2 linked regions of the Mytilus edulis genome follow. The protein of the gene in region 2 purifies or fractionates together with the protein of the main gene of each other region. This does not show direct contact. Links are inferred from orthologs where the notes say so. Each region holds a gene or a part of one and is shown on either strand. Other genes may lie near its edges.

The links. The genes of interacting proteins can lie anywhere in the genome.
Region 1: the proteins of U3 small nucleolar RNA-associated protein 4 homolog (region 2) and WD repeat-containing protein 43-like purify together in Homo sapiens (co-immunoprecipitation; 5 studies listed by BioGRID and IntAct, counting the BioPlex papers as one, with this or other methods). This does not show direct contact. The link is inferred for Mytilus edulis from reciprocal best matches to the Homo sapiens genes UTP4 and WDR43.

Annotation. Positions count from the first base shown.
Region 1 is NC_092346.1:5,602,264-5,609,420, forward strand, and holds the start of WD repeat-containing protein 43-like, read right to left. Parts: upstream 3,048-7,157; 5' UTR 3,035-3,047; coding exon 2,825-3,034; intron 2,187-2,824; coding exon 2,043-2,186; intron 1,135-2,042; coding exon 1,013-1,134; intron 652-1,012; coding exon 534-651; intron 1-533. Other genes in the region: equilibrative nucleoside transporter 3-like, read left to right, coding at 3,267-3,316, 6,581-6,662. UniProt on the Homo sapiens protein: Ribosome biogenesis factor that coordinates hyperactive transcription and ribogenesis. Part of the small subunit (SSU) processome, first precursor of the small eukaryotic ribosomal subunit.
Region 2 is NC_092348.1:88,492,310-88,499,892, forward strand, and holds the start of U3 small nucleolar RNA-associated protein 4 homolog, read right to left. Parts: upstream 3,068-7,583; 5' UTR 2,938-3,067; intron 920-2,937; 5' UTR 909-919; coding exon 805-908; intron 195-804; coding exon 140-194; intron 1-139. UniProt on the Homo sapiens protein: Ribosome biogenesis factor. Involved in nucleolar processing of pre-18S ribosomal RNA. Part of the small subunit (SSU) processome, first precursor of the small eukaryotic ribosomal subunit.

The sequences.
Region 1 (7,157 bases), on a different chromosome or scaffold from region 2:
CTCTTTTATCATAAATTTTTGTATTAAGCTTCCCGTTTATGATATAGATATCAAGATCGAGGAAAGGGCAGTGGTCATTGTTATCATTAGCTTTATTTAAAGTAAGTTCTACAGGATAAATTTCTTTAGTATACATACTGAAGTCGTCATTATTTAGAGGTTCATTTGATCTGAAGTAAATAGGATTTGGAATACATTTAGTAACAGTGTAACACTACTCCTTATTATGCACAGTGGTTATATTGAATGTTTTTTTTCTCTCTAAACCATCAAAACCATGCAAATTCAACATTAAACTCATTTAAATCTCAATTTTTTGTATGTTGGTCGCTAGTAGCTTTTCAGCGCAAACTAATCGAACTTATGTGTCTTAATTTAAATAGAAAGTGATTTTTAAATCTAATATATGCTAAAAAGAAAAGTGTGTGGAAACAATTCTGTCTTTTTCGTTTAAATGTTTGGTGTTACAATAGGTGATTTAAAATAAAAATATTAAATTGTTTTAAAATGTTTCCTTTTGGGACCAATATTACCTTTAACAATTCTTTAGTTTCTACATTCCACAGTTTTATTGATCTACCAGCAGTTAACAAATGATTGGAGGAACAAAGACACATTGAATGCACACTTCCTTTATCAGCTTTCCATTTGCTGAAAAAAAGTATAAAGTGTTTAAAAATGATATGATAAACCATGTAAAATTATATCTTGTTGTCTTACTAAATATTACAATTAAGACATAATTATTCATATATGTTTTTCATCAATTGAGACTTACAAAAATTCTCCTTATAGATCCATACACTCAGGTAAATCATTTTCCAGTTTCATAACTCATTCTTAATTTGATTTCAGAACCTGTTTTTAGAATCTGTTATTCATTTCGTGAGAAGATTTGAACAAGACTGGAAATTTCTTCTTCAAATAATGCAATTTCATAAAATTAGCTGGGCTAAAGAGGATAAACGTCTGCATTATACTGGACTGTTATGACATCCCTAAAGCTACCTACTGTCTAACACTAGCTGTAGAAACATCCCATTGGATGACATTGTGGTCGTTGCTACAACTGTACAAATAACCTTGATTTTCATCCCAACACAGGTCATTTACTGATTCACTGTGACCTTTATCCTGAAAAGAAATTTCCAAATAGGTATGAATATAAATTGGGCACCTTCTACTCCACATCATTTTTGAGGATTTTCTTACTAGTCTTTTTTAATATACAAGGGAAAATATTCCCTTTTTTTCCTCAGCCATAAAAATTATTTGGTTTACAGTTTTCAAAGTAATCAACTACTAATTTTGCTTTAACCTAAAAAAAACAATAAAAACAAGAATGTGTCCACAGTACACGGATGCCCCACTTGCACTATCATTTTCTATGTTTAGTGGGCCGTGAAATTGGAGTAAATTCTCTAATTTGGCATTAAAATTAGAATGATCTTATCAATGGAAACATGTATACTAAGTTTCAAGTTGATTGGACTTCTACTTTATCAAAAACTACCTTGACCAAAAACTTTAACCTGAAATTTGCACTATCATTTTCTATGTTAATTGAACCGTAAAATTGGGGTAAAAACTCTAATTTGGCATTAAAATTAGAAAGATCATATCATAGGGCACATGTATACTAAGTTTCAAATTGATTGGACTTCAACTTCATCAAAAACTACCTTGACCAAAAACTTTAACCTGAAGCGGGACAGACGGACGAACAAACGGACACACAGACCAGAAAACACAATGCCCCTCTACTATCGTAGGTGGGGCATAAAAATGCTACATTTTTCATGGAATAAAATGTGGATTTAAAAATAAAATTTTAAACACTGCTAGAATAGAATTCCTCATTAGATGGATAGTTTTTCAAATTTATTTTGTAAACTTCCCAATTTTATGGGTTGTCCCAACCTGTCAACTTTAAGTCATACATCATGTACATTAAGTGAAATACTACATGTACTACCGTCATTGAATGGTTAAGGATATAATTTTGTTGATGCTAAATGCTACAATTACATATTAGTACCTACCAACTGACTCTGTATATCTGCTTTTACAATACTGTACAATAAAATATTTCCAGAACTGGTTCCTATTGCAACAATATCATTTTTCTCTTGTTCAGCTGAATCTTCTGATAATGATTTCCTTTTTTTCTTTTTCTTTGGTGTTTTCTTAAAATATAAAAAGATAAAATCATGTTGACAAGCAATTTACATTTTTACTTTCATTTTGAAGTAAATATCATGTCAGATCAATTTATATTTGGGGAAAACTCATCCTTGAAACAAAAGGTGTCATAAATAATTAAAAAGAAGGTCAAAGTCCCTCAACTCCAACAAATGGCCAAATAAAAATGTTGACATTAGATATCGTGAAGAGAATAAGATGACAAATAGTATGCAAACTTTATGTCAATGACAGTGATCGCAGAGTATTGTGGCACATGTTGACCATATTCCCCTTGCAGTAGCACAAGCCACAACTGGCACAAGGGACAAATGGCAGCAATTTTTTGAATCACTAATTCAGTCTAAATCTGATGACAGGAATCATGACACATCCCACTGATGGATAGTTATATGATGGTGCATATGGTCATGGTTTAATTAGATTCCTACAAAACATATTTTCAATATTTCCAGGTTGCCAATAAAAATCCAATATCTTTTTTCAATTGCTTCATGAATAGTTAATATAATGATAACCTTAGGTCAATCATTCTTATGTAAGAAAATTGGTTCAACTTCTAACTTGAGTATATCTGTTTAAAAAATAAATACTGCTGATTTTGAATTTATCTCTGACTTACAGCACTGGGTCTCTTAGGACCCCATGATAAACAAGTACACGTTGCTGTCAGGTGTGAACTTGGAGTATACTGTTGACTGATTTTTGAGGTCGATGTATCATATACTTTAAGAACGCCGTCAGGACTTGAATACATGCAATATTCTCCATTTGAAGAAAAAGATACTGGTGTGGAAAGTGCCATTTTCAACACGTGTTCTAATATACGCATGCGTCAATTTTCTAAAGGTTATTTCCGTTTCCTGCTTGTTTCACTTTCAGCTGACTTGTTGTTTACAAAATATAAAAAAGTTTACGTGACATTAGTTCAGTAAACGATCAAGTTTTTATCAAAGTTTTAACTTAAATTAGAATGCAATCATCGGGTCTAACTCACATGCCGCACCCTTATTTGCTATGACAAAAGTTTTTTGAACTGCAGTTCTAGACAAGCACTTGTAAATATGGAATCTCAAGTACCACCACCTGATCGAAATGCTGAACCAAAAGATAGGTATCACAAGTGCAATTCGATTGAACAAAATGAAAAGTGTTTTTAATGCAGTTATTGCTTATTGGAAATGTGTTTTATATCAATTCATGGTGTTCCTTTTTCTGAAAAAGGGGTGCGGGGTGCATTATATACACCTTATGGCTATGTACATTTATCCCCGGCTTAGTATATATCTAGGATTTTGATTGGTTAACGCACGTCGTTACAAAACCCATAGCCCCTGGGTGTTGCTAACCCATATCCCCGGACGTTGCTAACCATTATCCCGGGGAACTCCGCGCAAGTTTCCCTTAGTTCCATGATTGCTCCTTGTGAAATATTGAATTCTGTAGAGTATCCATGATGTTTGTAATTAAATATTTAATTCATTAACGGGTTTGTCCTATATTATTCCGATCATGTACACTAATTTCATTAAATGCATCACTTGACTGCCACATTTCCTAGGAATGGGACGTCTATGCAAATGACCCACGTTGACGTCACACCATCTATGACGTAACTCTCACAACATTGAGCGCCAAATTTGACTCAATCCAGTTTCTCGGTCTCCGTATTAAAAACGTCTTATATTTCACTACCTGTAGGGTTCTACCAAAGGTAGTACCCTACACCCCGTAAAAAATATGTAAAATTTCCAAATTTCAATAAAACTTTTTTAGATAATGAAAAAAACGTTGTTTTCACGTTACACTTTGTACCCGAATTTCCATAAAACTCGCCCGATTCGGACTAAGACCGGGGATAAATTCGTTATCTACGTTCATATCTAATGAACGTAGATAACGAATTTATCCCCGGTCTTTCCTAGGAAATGTGGCAGTCAAAATTTCGGGATTTAAATTTCTTTAAATTCAGGACCTCAGGATTTTAAGCCAGGGATTTCGGGATCAGGAAATCTGTTCTGGTTGACCCTAGAATTTGCGTCTCTTGAAATTTGATGTCACACAACTATCAGTTTTCCATTGTGGCATCAAAATTATACTGAAAACCTTTGTTATGTCAAGTAACGGCACATACTATAAGTTATCTACGTTCATATCCGTAGATATGGATATTTTAACACCCTTCAGTACCCTGTACACCCTTCGGCTTCGCCTCATGATGTACTGGGGTACTTCAGGGTGTTAAAATATCCATATCTACGGATATGAACGTAGATAACTTATAGTATGTGCCGTTACTTGACATAACAAAGGTTTTCAGTATAATTTTGATGCCACAATGGAAAACTGATAGTTGTGTGACATCAAATTTCAAGAGACGCAAATTCTAGGGTCAACCAGAACAGATTTCCTGATCCCGAAATCCCTGGCTTAAAATCCTGAGGTCCTGAATTTAAAGAAATTTAAATCCCGAAATTCGAAAAAAGAATTACAGTATCCCAAAATGATCCATCCTGAAATCTCCAGCTTAAAAACACCTGAGACCCGATTAAGGTCCTATCCCCCTCAGTCACATGTGTATGTAGTATGAGATTGCACAGATTTCCAAATAGTATATATAAAAAAAGGTGTGGTTATGATTGCCAATGAGACAACTCTCCACAAAGACCAAATGGCACAGAATTAACAGCTATAGGTCACTGTGTGGCCTTCAACAATGAGCAAAGCCCATACCGCAAAGTCGGCTATTAAAGGCCCAGAAATCGCAAGTGTATCACAATTCAAATGAGCATATCAGGTCAATAAATAGCCATAGATGTTTAAAGGGTACAACTATTTCCCCAAGAACTTCCAAATACGCAATATATATGAACCTTAGAACTGATAGAAAATTACCCGAAAACTTTTCTGTATATGCAGTAGTATTTCTGCTTTTATAGATAAGTCTACAATTTTCAGATATACATTGTATGTCCTAAAAGTAAAAATTATATTCCTGAATTTGATTTGCGTTTTCTTTTATACATGTTCACACACCTAATAACTAGCTAATGGCATAGATATTCATGATATTTTTTCTTTACAAAACTTTTGACTTGCTCTGGTTAAAAATTATGAGTCCCTGGAAAATCCTTACTGAGTACCTTGTGAGTCAATCATCATCTATATCATGTATTATAGTATATATATGCATTTTACCTATATGTAACATTATAAAAATAAGGAGATGTGTTATTATTGTCAAAAATACAACTATTGGCTAAAGTTTGAATGAAGTTGATGTAACTGGTTTCTCACTAAGGCGAGTCCATGAGTCCGGATTCATGAAAATCTGTCTGGACTCACCATTTTCAAAACTGGTGATTATAAAAAAAGAAGATGTGGTATGATTGCCAATAAGACAACTCTCCAGACCACAAGAGACCAAATGACACAGAAATTAACAACTTTAGGCATCGCATGGCCTTCAACCATGAGCACAGCCCATACTGCATAGTCAGCTATAAAAGGCCCTGATATGAAAATGTAAAAAATTCAAACGAGAAAACTAACGGCCTAATTTATGTACAAAAAATGAACAATATACAAATATGTAACACACAAACAAACAGCAACCTCTGAATTACAGGCCCCTGACTTGGGACAGGCACAGACAAGCAGAATGTGTCGGGGTTAAACATTTTAGTGGGATCCCATGGCCAGCCCTCCTCTAACCTGAGACAGTGGTGTAACACTAAAACATAAGAATAAACTTGAAAAATCAGTAGAAAAAGGCTTAACTCATGAGATGGATAAAAATACAAATACTACAAATACAAGTGGACATCGCCATTTACTTGTACATCCCAACAACAAAAAGACACTAAGTACAGATCTGAGAGTACTTGCAGTTACTGACAGCTAGCTAGTTCAAAGCCACTAACAACTAATAAAAAAATCATGCATCTTAGACTAAATTATTAAGCCCAGAAATGAATCAATATTGTAAAATTTTGTATAAACTAAACACATGTATCATCATTTTATAGCAAAAGTTTAAAAGTAATCTGAATTTAATGCATATGTCATTTCGTTGCTCTATTAGGTCATGGAGTATAAAATAATAAATTATATTGCAATAGAATATCTTATCTTACTGTTGGACTAACCATGGCCAAAAATTAAGAGTCCCAGGACTCTCCTTCAAAAATACTTAGTGAGAACCCATATCATCTATAGATCAAAACTACTGAGTAGAGAAACAATATTGTGAATATATATAATATTTTATCTAAATGAATACCTAGCTACCTGGAGTACATTGAGTTTATTTACATGTATCTTATATTTAAAACAACTATATTTTTGAATTTTAACAAACTTATGTTTCTACTTGCAGGTTGAATATTGTTTACATTATATTTTATGTTTTGGGAATCGGTTCATTGTTGCCATGGAATTTTTTCATAACAGCCAAAGATGTAAGTTATCTCTCTTAGTTTCTGTAAATTATATCTAAAGTGAATCTTGGTGAAAAACTATGATAACAGATCAGGGAGACAGATTAACACATGGACAATTTTGTTGCTTTAAAATAAATTGAAATTATTTTTATATGTCATCATTTCCATTAAAAGTGGTTTTAAATAAATAAGGTTGACTGAAGACGATACATATCAGTGGGTGATTCAGAAATTTTCATAAGTGGGAGCCCACTGACTGCCTAAGAGGGGGCCCATTCCGGTCATGCTTCAGTGAATCCCTATATAATCCCCCTGGCCCCCCTCTAAATCCGCCTCTGCGTATAGTCTGATTTACCAATCTATGATATAGTCAAATTTTGTACAAAAATACAAATCATAATTTGTACATAAAATATACAAAGAGAAGCTGGAAGGGGTATATGTCAATGAGACAGCAACCTAGCAAAACAAAACAAATCACAACTGGAGGTCAACATTCAGTCCAACAAGAGA
Region 2 (7,583 bases):
TTTATACTAATGTATGCAATGTATATGTTTGCATTTTGTTTGATTTCTCATGATGAGGGCCTCAGGGAAGATTAGTTATATAGCTAACTGTGTAACCCTCTTAAAATAAAGTATTGTTGTTGTTTTTGTTGTTGTTTACCTTCTCCTGATACCAATCATCTCCAATGCTCCAGATCTCTATTGATGCATCAGATCTAAACAAAAACAAAACCAAAGAAGGGAAAATAGTAATTTGATGTATGTACGTGCTATGCTAAAACTTAATGCTGTAAAACACATTCAATACCCCTTTTTATGTAATTAATTAAGATACTTTGTCTTTTCTTGATAGTGATATTTAGTATTGCATCAGCACACATGATATATAACTACTGTGAATGTTTCATTTAAAATTGTTCTTCTCATTTTCCTTCAACAAGAATATTACAATCTACAACTATTAAGTTTTGCTTATTGCAATATTAATCTTGTTGCATTTTTCACATTGTTACACACATTAAATACATGAAATAATTTCTAGACAAACTTGAAATCAGTCAAATTCTAAGTAGGTCTGTGTTAAGCATGTTGAGTGGCCTCTAACAATATTACCAAATTTTATATGATTTGATTGAGGCTTACTGAAGTAAGCAAAAAGAAACCAATTTTCCGAACATACATATATAGGTATATGTATGTACTGAAATACAACTTTATGTTCCCATCCCCTATTGGCTAGAGCTTAAAATTTTTATTGTTTAATTACATGCAATTCAGTTTATTTTTAGAATCAGAATAAAAATATAAAGGTTTACATTAACTTACCTTGACACAGCCACTCGGTTTAATTCTTTATTATAATCTATACAATGTATGGCAAGCGGTTGGTAATTAAAAAATCTTATGTGATGTACTCTAAATTCACCCATTTCTTATAGATCTACAAAAAAAAAGTTTATACATTACTTACACATTCGCTTAAATATATCAGTTAAATATCGGTACCTTGAATGATTTTATTTTATTTTATTTTATTTACATAAATCTGGATTTACTTATTAGAAGTTTCGGATTCGGATGCTGACTTCATATAAGTGATTTGGACTTTCAAGCGCCAACTGATTTAGTTTTTGACGAGATCTATCCCTGTTATTGTTAAGGCACGCAAACATGCCTGGACGGGCCATTGCACGACCCTGTGCGTTCATGGGACGCTTCATGACAACACTAGCTGAGTCTTGTTATCATCATAATCCTCTCAAAAGGAAACTAAAACATGCTTCTATTCAATATTTTTACCGGAAATTTACTTTCGTTTTAATTCATTGCTAAGTGTTATGCTAAGTCCCTAGAAGTACGAAAAGAATAATGACGACATGGCTAACGCTAATTGGATAAAGGCAGAGAAGATCGAAATGTTTTCCTCACCACGTGTACCGTACCTTTAAGCAACGGAACATTTCAACAGGGACCCTTTCAACAATCTATTTTTAGAACGAAAGGACATTTCCGATTTTTAATATTACAAAAATAGATTTACACAACGACTATGTAAAAGATAAGGGTAAATAACCCACATGATATCGACTAAAAGCGTTAAGAACTCATGGTTTTGACAAATTATTGGGTTAATTTTTCTTTGCATGAATTGGGTTTTAGAACTCTGCAATGGGCAATTGCATTGGGTTTTCAATTATTTTTATTGCGTGATCATGCATATACGTAGCTTATCAAGAGCTCTGTTGATAAGAAAAAACATTACCTGATGATAGCGTTTCTTTGTTTACATTGAAGATGACGTCATAACTTAAATAACGTCACAACTAAAATCTTTTGAAGTTGAAATACATGAATGTTTGAATAAAAATTTAATTCATACAGACTTCGTCCCCATTCACCATGTTCACAGTTAAATTTTATGCCTGCCTCATAGTAATTTTTCGTAAACAATATCAATTTTTTGCATTTAATCTTATTGATTTAATAATTGTTCTTTATTTCAAATCCACCAATTTTAACAGTCTTCTATCGGCTGATTTGTTTGACGAAATCTATTATTTACATGTACATGTACCGAATGCTGATTCACTACATGACACAATAAGCTGTCAATCATTTCAAAAAATCAATAATCGTGCTATCGGGGCATTGAAATCTTAACAGATCGATCAGTTTCCAGTCCTGTTACTGTTAGTATATTATGGGGACGAAGTCCCCAATAACAGTAGAAAATTCAATAAAAAAAAAAATTTGGGATAATTTCCCGAATTTTTCATTGTACTAATGAACTCAAAATCGTTCAATTTTTTTTATGTCATGTTTTGAAATCCCGGACATGCGCAGAAATGTACAATGTACTTTCTTTTTCCGGTCTCGTTTGTATGAAACTTTGAGTAAAATATATATTTATCAGTCTAGTATAAAATAGGAAGGAACGCGCAATACCAATTTCATTTTTAATAATTCCTTGATATGAAAAAACGTTACCTGATGATAGCGTTTCTTTGTTTACATTGCATATGACGTCATAATTTAAATAACGTCACAACTAAAATCCCTAACAACAGAACCAAAATCGGAAACGTTTCGGTATTTCCGTTTCTTTTTTTTTCAACAAATATTTACATTTAATCGTCCCCATTTACAGGTAATGCCTGCCTCATATTAGTTCAAGGTACAATCAATACTAAAATAAATTTTGGTGTCTGAATAAAAAAATATTTACATATTCACAAATGATTTACAAACTGACGAAGATGCCTAAATATAATGACTTTGGTACTACTTTTTAACTGATAATGTATGTGCATGTAAAAAATCACATTTTTACATGTTTAGATAAAAAGTAAAACTATATTAAAAACATTGTCCCTAGCACTAGGCCTAGTAAACAGACATATTTTTTGCTATGGTCTGTCAAACAACACCACTTCGGCACTTGTTATTTACAAACTTTACCTATGGAAAGGGAAACCTTGACCATCAAATATGATAAAATAAATCAGGTGTGGACAGTGCTAAAGATTGTAAACAATTATCGCATGTTTTCAAATGGGCGCAGCCATGTTGATCTATTCTAAATGCAGGACTGGATCTCGGATAAGGACAACGTTTATATTCCGCGTTACCAAAATTTGGAAAACAATTGTGAAGGATTTTCTTATTATGGGACTATAAAATCAATGCATTAACCCCAGGTTTAGACTACTTTCTCATTTATTTTCAAATAAAGCATATTGCGTTTGATAATGACATCTAGTCAAATCGGCACTTGGTTAAATTGGCATCTGGTCAAATCGGCACCTGATATACAAATGCACTTTTCTCATGATTTTTTCCCCCTATATAACTTTGTGTTATATAAAAGTATAAATTTCTATATGTAATTTCTCTATACCTTGTCAAAATGATGGTTTATTGAAAATAAAAGATATGTAGGAATTTTTTCTGAGACGAGTGCCTGTGCTGGTAGGTAAACGGACAGAAAGTCACAGGACTAAAAGTCACAGGACATAAAGTCACAAATTTGATAGGACAAAAAGTCACAGGACAAAACGTCACAAATAATTTGTTGACAATTGATTGGATATATTGGAAAAATATCTTGAAATATTTACTTTTTAATACAAATATTCATATTAAAGTTTAGGAAATGTGTCATTATGATTGAAAAAATAAGATTTATTTAATTTTAATCATGCAAAGGATATATTTCTTAGTACATTTTTTTTTCTATTAACAGTGATCATCTTTGATAATTTAAAAAAATATATAAATTTTGTTTACAAAGTTGGTTTATATGCAATAGTTTAAGAAAAATACAAAAATGTTTTTGTGAAAATACAAGCATTATTTTCTTTTTTTCTTTTTTAAAGAAAATAATGCGGAGAAAAAAATGAGTTGTGACTTTTTGTTCTGTGACTATTTGTCCGTGACTTTTTGTCTGTTACATTTTGTCCAGTGACTTTCTGTCCTACATTTGTTAGTATAATAGTCCAAGGTATTTTACAAAAAAAAAAGAATAAAATAAAGAAGCCGGGGTTGTCCAGAAATATTAACGTATGATTAACACTTTTCAGGGGGTTTTCCGGTTTTTGTATGTAATTTTGTTCAACTTAATGTGTATTCAAAGTATTGGACATTTGTTATAAATGCATGTTTTACCCAGTTATGCATTTTCAATGATTGTTGTTTAATGCTGTTTTTCAGTAAACTCATGATTAAACAACATCTTCGGTAAAGGCTTCACTGTTTTTCATTTTTAACATCACTGAATAACTACCTGACGGATATATATATATAGATTATTTGCTGTTGATAGTGGGGTATGTTTCTTTTTGATACAGGCCCTGGTTGATTAATTTATATTCCTTGTGTGTGTGTGTGTGTGTGTGTGTGTCATTTTAAGGTTTTATGAATTGTTACATCTATCCACTGGCAGGAACATACTATGTTTGATATACTGTTCCCAGATCTATCGGTATTAAGCCGAGTCAGCCCATTATAATTTATGCGAGTACATTTTGGAATATGGCCTAAGCTCGTTTATCACATGTCATCTGTCATGGGAACGCTTGGAATTTGCTTTTACGGAATTCAACCATATCAACGTTAGTTAATAAATAAACTCATCATATCGGAAACAAGGAACACAATTTTGTATTTGCCCCAGACGCGCGTTTCGTCTACAAAAGACTCACCAGTGACGCTTGAATCCAAAAAAGTTTAAAAGGCCAGAAAAGTACGAAGTTGAATAGCATTGAGGACTAAAAAGTCCTTAAATTTTTGCCAATTACACTGAGCCAAAGTAATCTATTCCTGAGGTAGAAAAGTCTTAGTATTTAAAAAAATCAAAGGTTTGTAAACTGTTAATTTACAATTATGACCATATTAATGATAATTCATGTCAACATAGAAGTGCTGACTACTGGGCTGTTGATACCCTCGGAGAATAAAAACTCCACCAGCAGTGGCATCGACCCAACAAGTGGCTTAAAGGCAGTGTTCGTAAATAGACTCACCATCTAGATACCAGGATTGAATTTTGTGTTTCTGCCTAATGCGCGTTTCGTCTACAAAAGACTCATCAGTGATGCTAGAATCCACTGCTTGAGTACGCAGGCACAGTTTTGGATTCACTTTTTAACAACATTCATGTAACAATTAGATATTGTGCAAAGATGATCAGCCTTATCTGAAATGAACGACTACCGCGTTTGAGAGTGGACACCTCAAACCCCCTCCTACGTACGTCAGTCATTTGAAACAGCTAGGCGATAGGATGGCGAGATGAAGTTGGCAATAACAACACTAGAATATTATACCGCATCACTAATAACTATAGGGGCATGTCGCATATACGGCACCAGAACATCAACAAAATTATTTATGAAAGGGAAATTTTAAAGTAATAGTTCGTAATAAGCAGTAAGTTTGACCCAAATATGTTAAAATAAGCTCTAAACATCAGTGATGTATTATTCACTTGTAAGTCATGCCTGCCAACTGTCACTATTTGCGCCGGGGATATTTCCCCCATGAAAGCTTCCAAATTTAAATTTGAATGCGGAGCAATTTTGTCAACAATTTTAAACAAAACAATAAATTTCACCATAGCTGTAGGGTTTTCAAAGTATGAAGAAGCCGAAAAATAACAGTTTTAAAATACATTAGAAGGCCGCCTTGACGATTTTGTAGAGCCAACTTGCACACAAAACCCCCAATGGGCATTTGAAAAATTGGAAGGTATGGTAAGTCAATAATCGGCAGCCTGTGGAATCCGTATTCACGTGACCTTCAATCTAATCCCTTAGCTTAAGACTATGATCTCTATATGTAATAGGCATGCTTAGCTGTAAAAAGGAAAAGAATACCGGTCATCATTGAAAGGGAAACAAGGGTTAACTATTTCGTTGACTGATTCGATCAACAAACAGTATGCATTATACTACCGGCATCATTTTTGTATACGCATGTTTAAAATCTGCAATATCTAACCAAACAGACAAATTAAAAAAGTCACATAGAAAAAATAATCAGATGCACGTGCTTTTGATATCTATTTCAGTGGCGGATCCAGGGGGGGGGGGGGGGGGGGTTCCGGGGGTGCGCACCCCCCCTTTATTTTTGCCGATCAATGCATTTGTATCGGGACATATGTTTTGCACCCCCACTGCACCCCCCCTTTTGCCCTGGGTTAGCACCCCCCCTTTCGAAAATTCCTGCATCCGCCCCTGTATTTATATCTATACATAAGTTTATTATCGGTTGTATGACCGTCGGCAGTCGTTGGAGGTAATATCGATGGCACGTTAATTAAATGGTGGTCAACACTTAGATACACACAAAATGCTGATACATATCATAGAGGCCCATGTATTGTTAATCGTTAATTTTGGTTGACGTTTTGTTTATTATAAATTAAATGTGAGATTTTGAGATATATCAGGAAACATGGATTTGGCAGCTTATGCTTCAGGTAGTTACAGTCACATCTTCTTACCTTTGTTGAAAACTAAATATAAAATACTACCAACGTTACCGTGATGACCATATTATGATTTTGTCCTCGGAATTCGGTATTTTTGTAATTTTTCTTTTTACCTTTACAATTGTAATACATATCATATTTAAACAGTATATGCAAGATATAAACACATCATCTACAAGTTATCTTAAACAAGTTGTTAAAAAATTTAAATCATACGATAGCGGTAAATAATTTCACAAAAATTGAATCAACACTTTATCATATCGAATGTACACTTTACTGTTCTGTACAATCTGGTTTCATTGTAATTTTACCTACGGATATCAACAGTTTAAAATCGGAAACCAGTTATGTTGAATTAAATATTGCGGGAAAGAGAACTTGTTGACAAATGGTTCAAATTGAATTAAACATCTCCAACAGCGTTATCAACTACTTAAATCATGTTATGAACATTAATATATACGTACACTGGTTATAAGGTAATTCAATAAATACACTAATTATTGAATTTATAGGCAATTTCTTCTATAATCATGAATTTTCATGAAATAATTGCCATTGGACATAAGTCATTAACTTAAGCAAGCATTAATCAAACAGTCTCAGATAAAAAAAAAACCACCATCATAAATATATGAAAAGATACCAAGGCAGCACGGGCATCTATAAAAAAATCATTAACAATATTGTTAAACCAGGCATGCGCCGGAAAGTAATCATCAACCAGTTGATGTTTTTCTGTATATAAAGAAGAAGAAGAAGAAGAAGAAGTGGAAAAACCAACAACACCATAAAAAAAGGAGAAAACTATGAAACTATTTTACAACTATTGCCTTTATTTCTTCGTATTGGTGGTCTCTTGTTTGCCATAGAGGTCCAGAATGCGTTGGATCTAACTCCTGTGTGGTCTGACCGAGAACAGTAAAATCGGTTTTTGCTTCTGCACTCCTATAAAAAAATAAATAGATATAGGAAGATGTGGTACGAGTGCCAATGAGACAACTCTCCATCCAAGTAACAATTTATCAAAAGTAAACCATTATAGGTCAAGGTATGGCCTTCAACATGGAGCCTTGGCATTATTTAAGGAATAACCGTTTCACACATGATA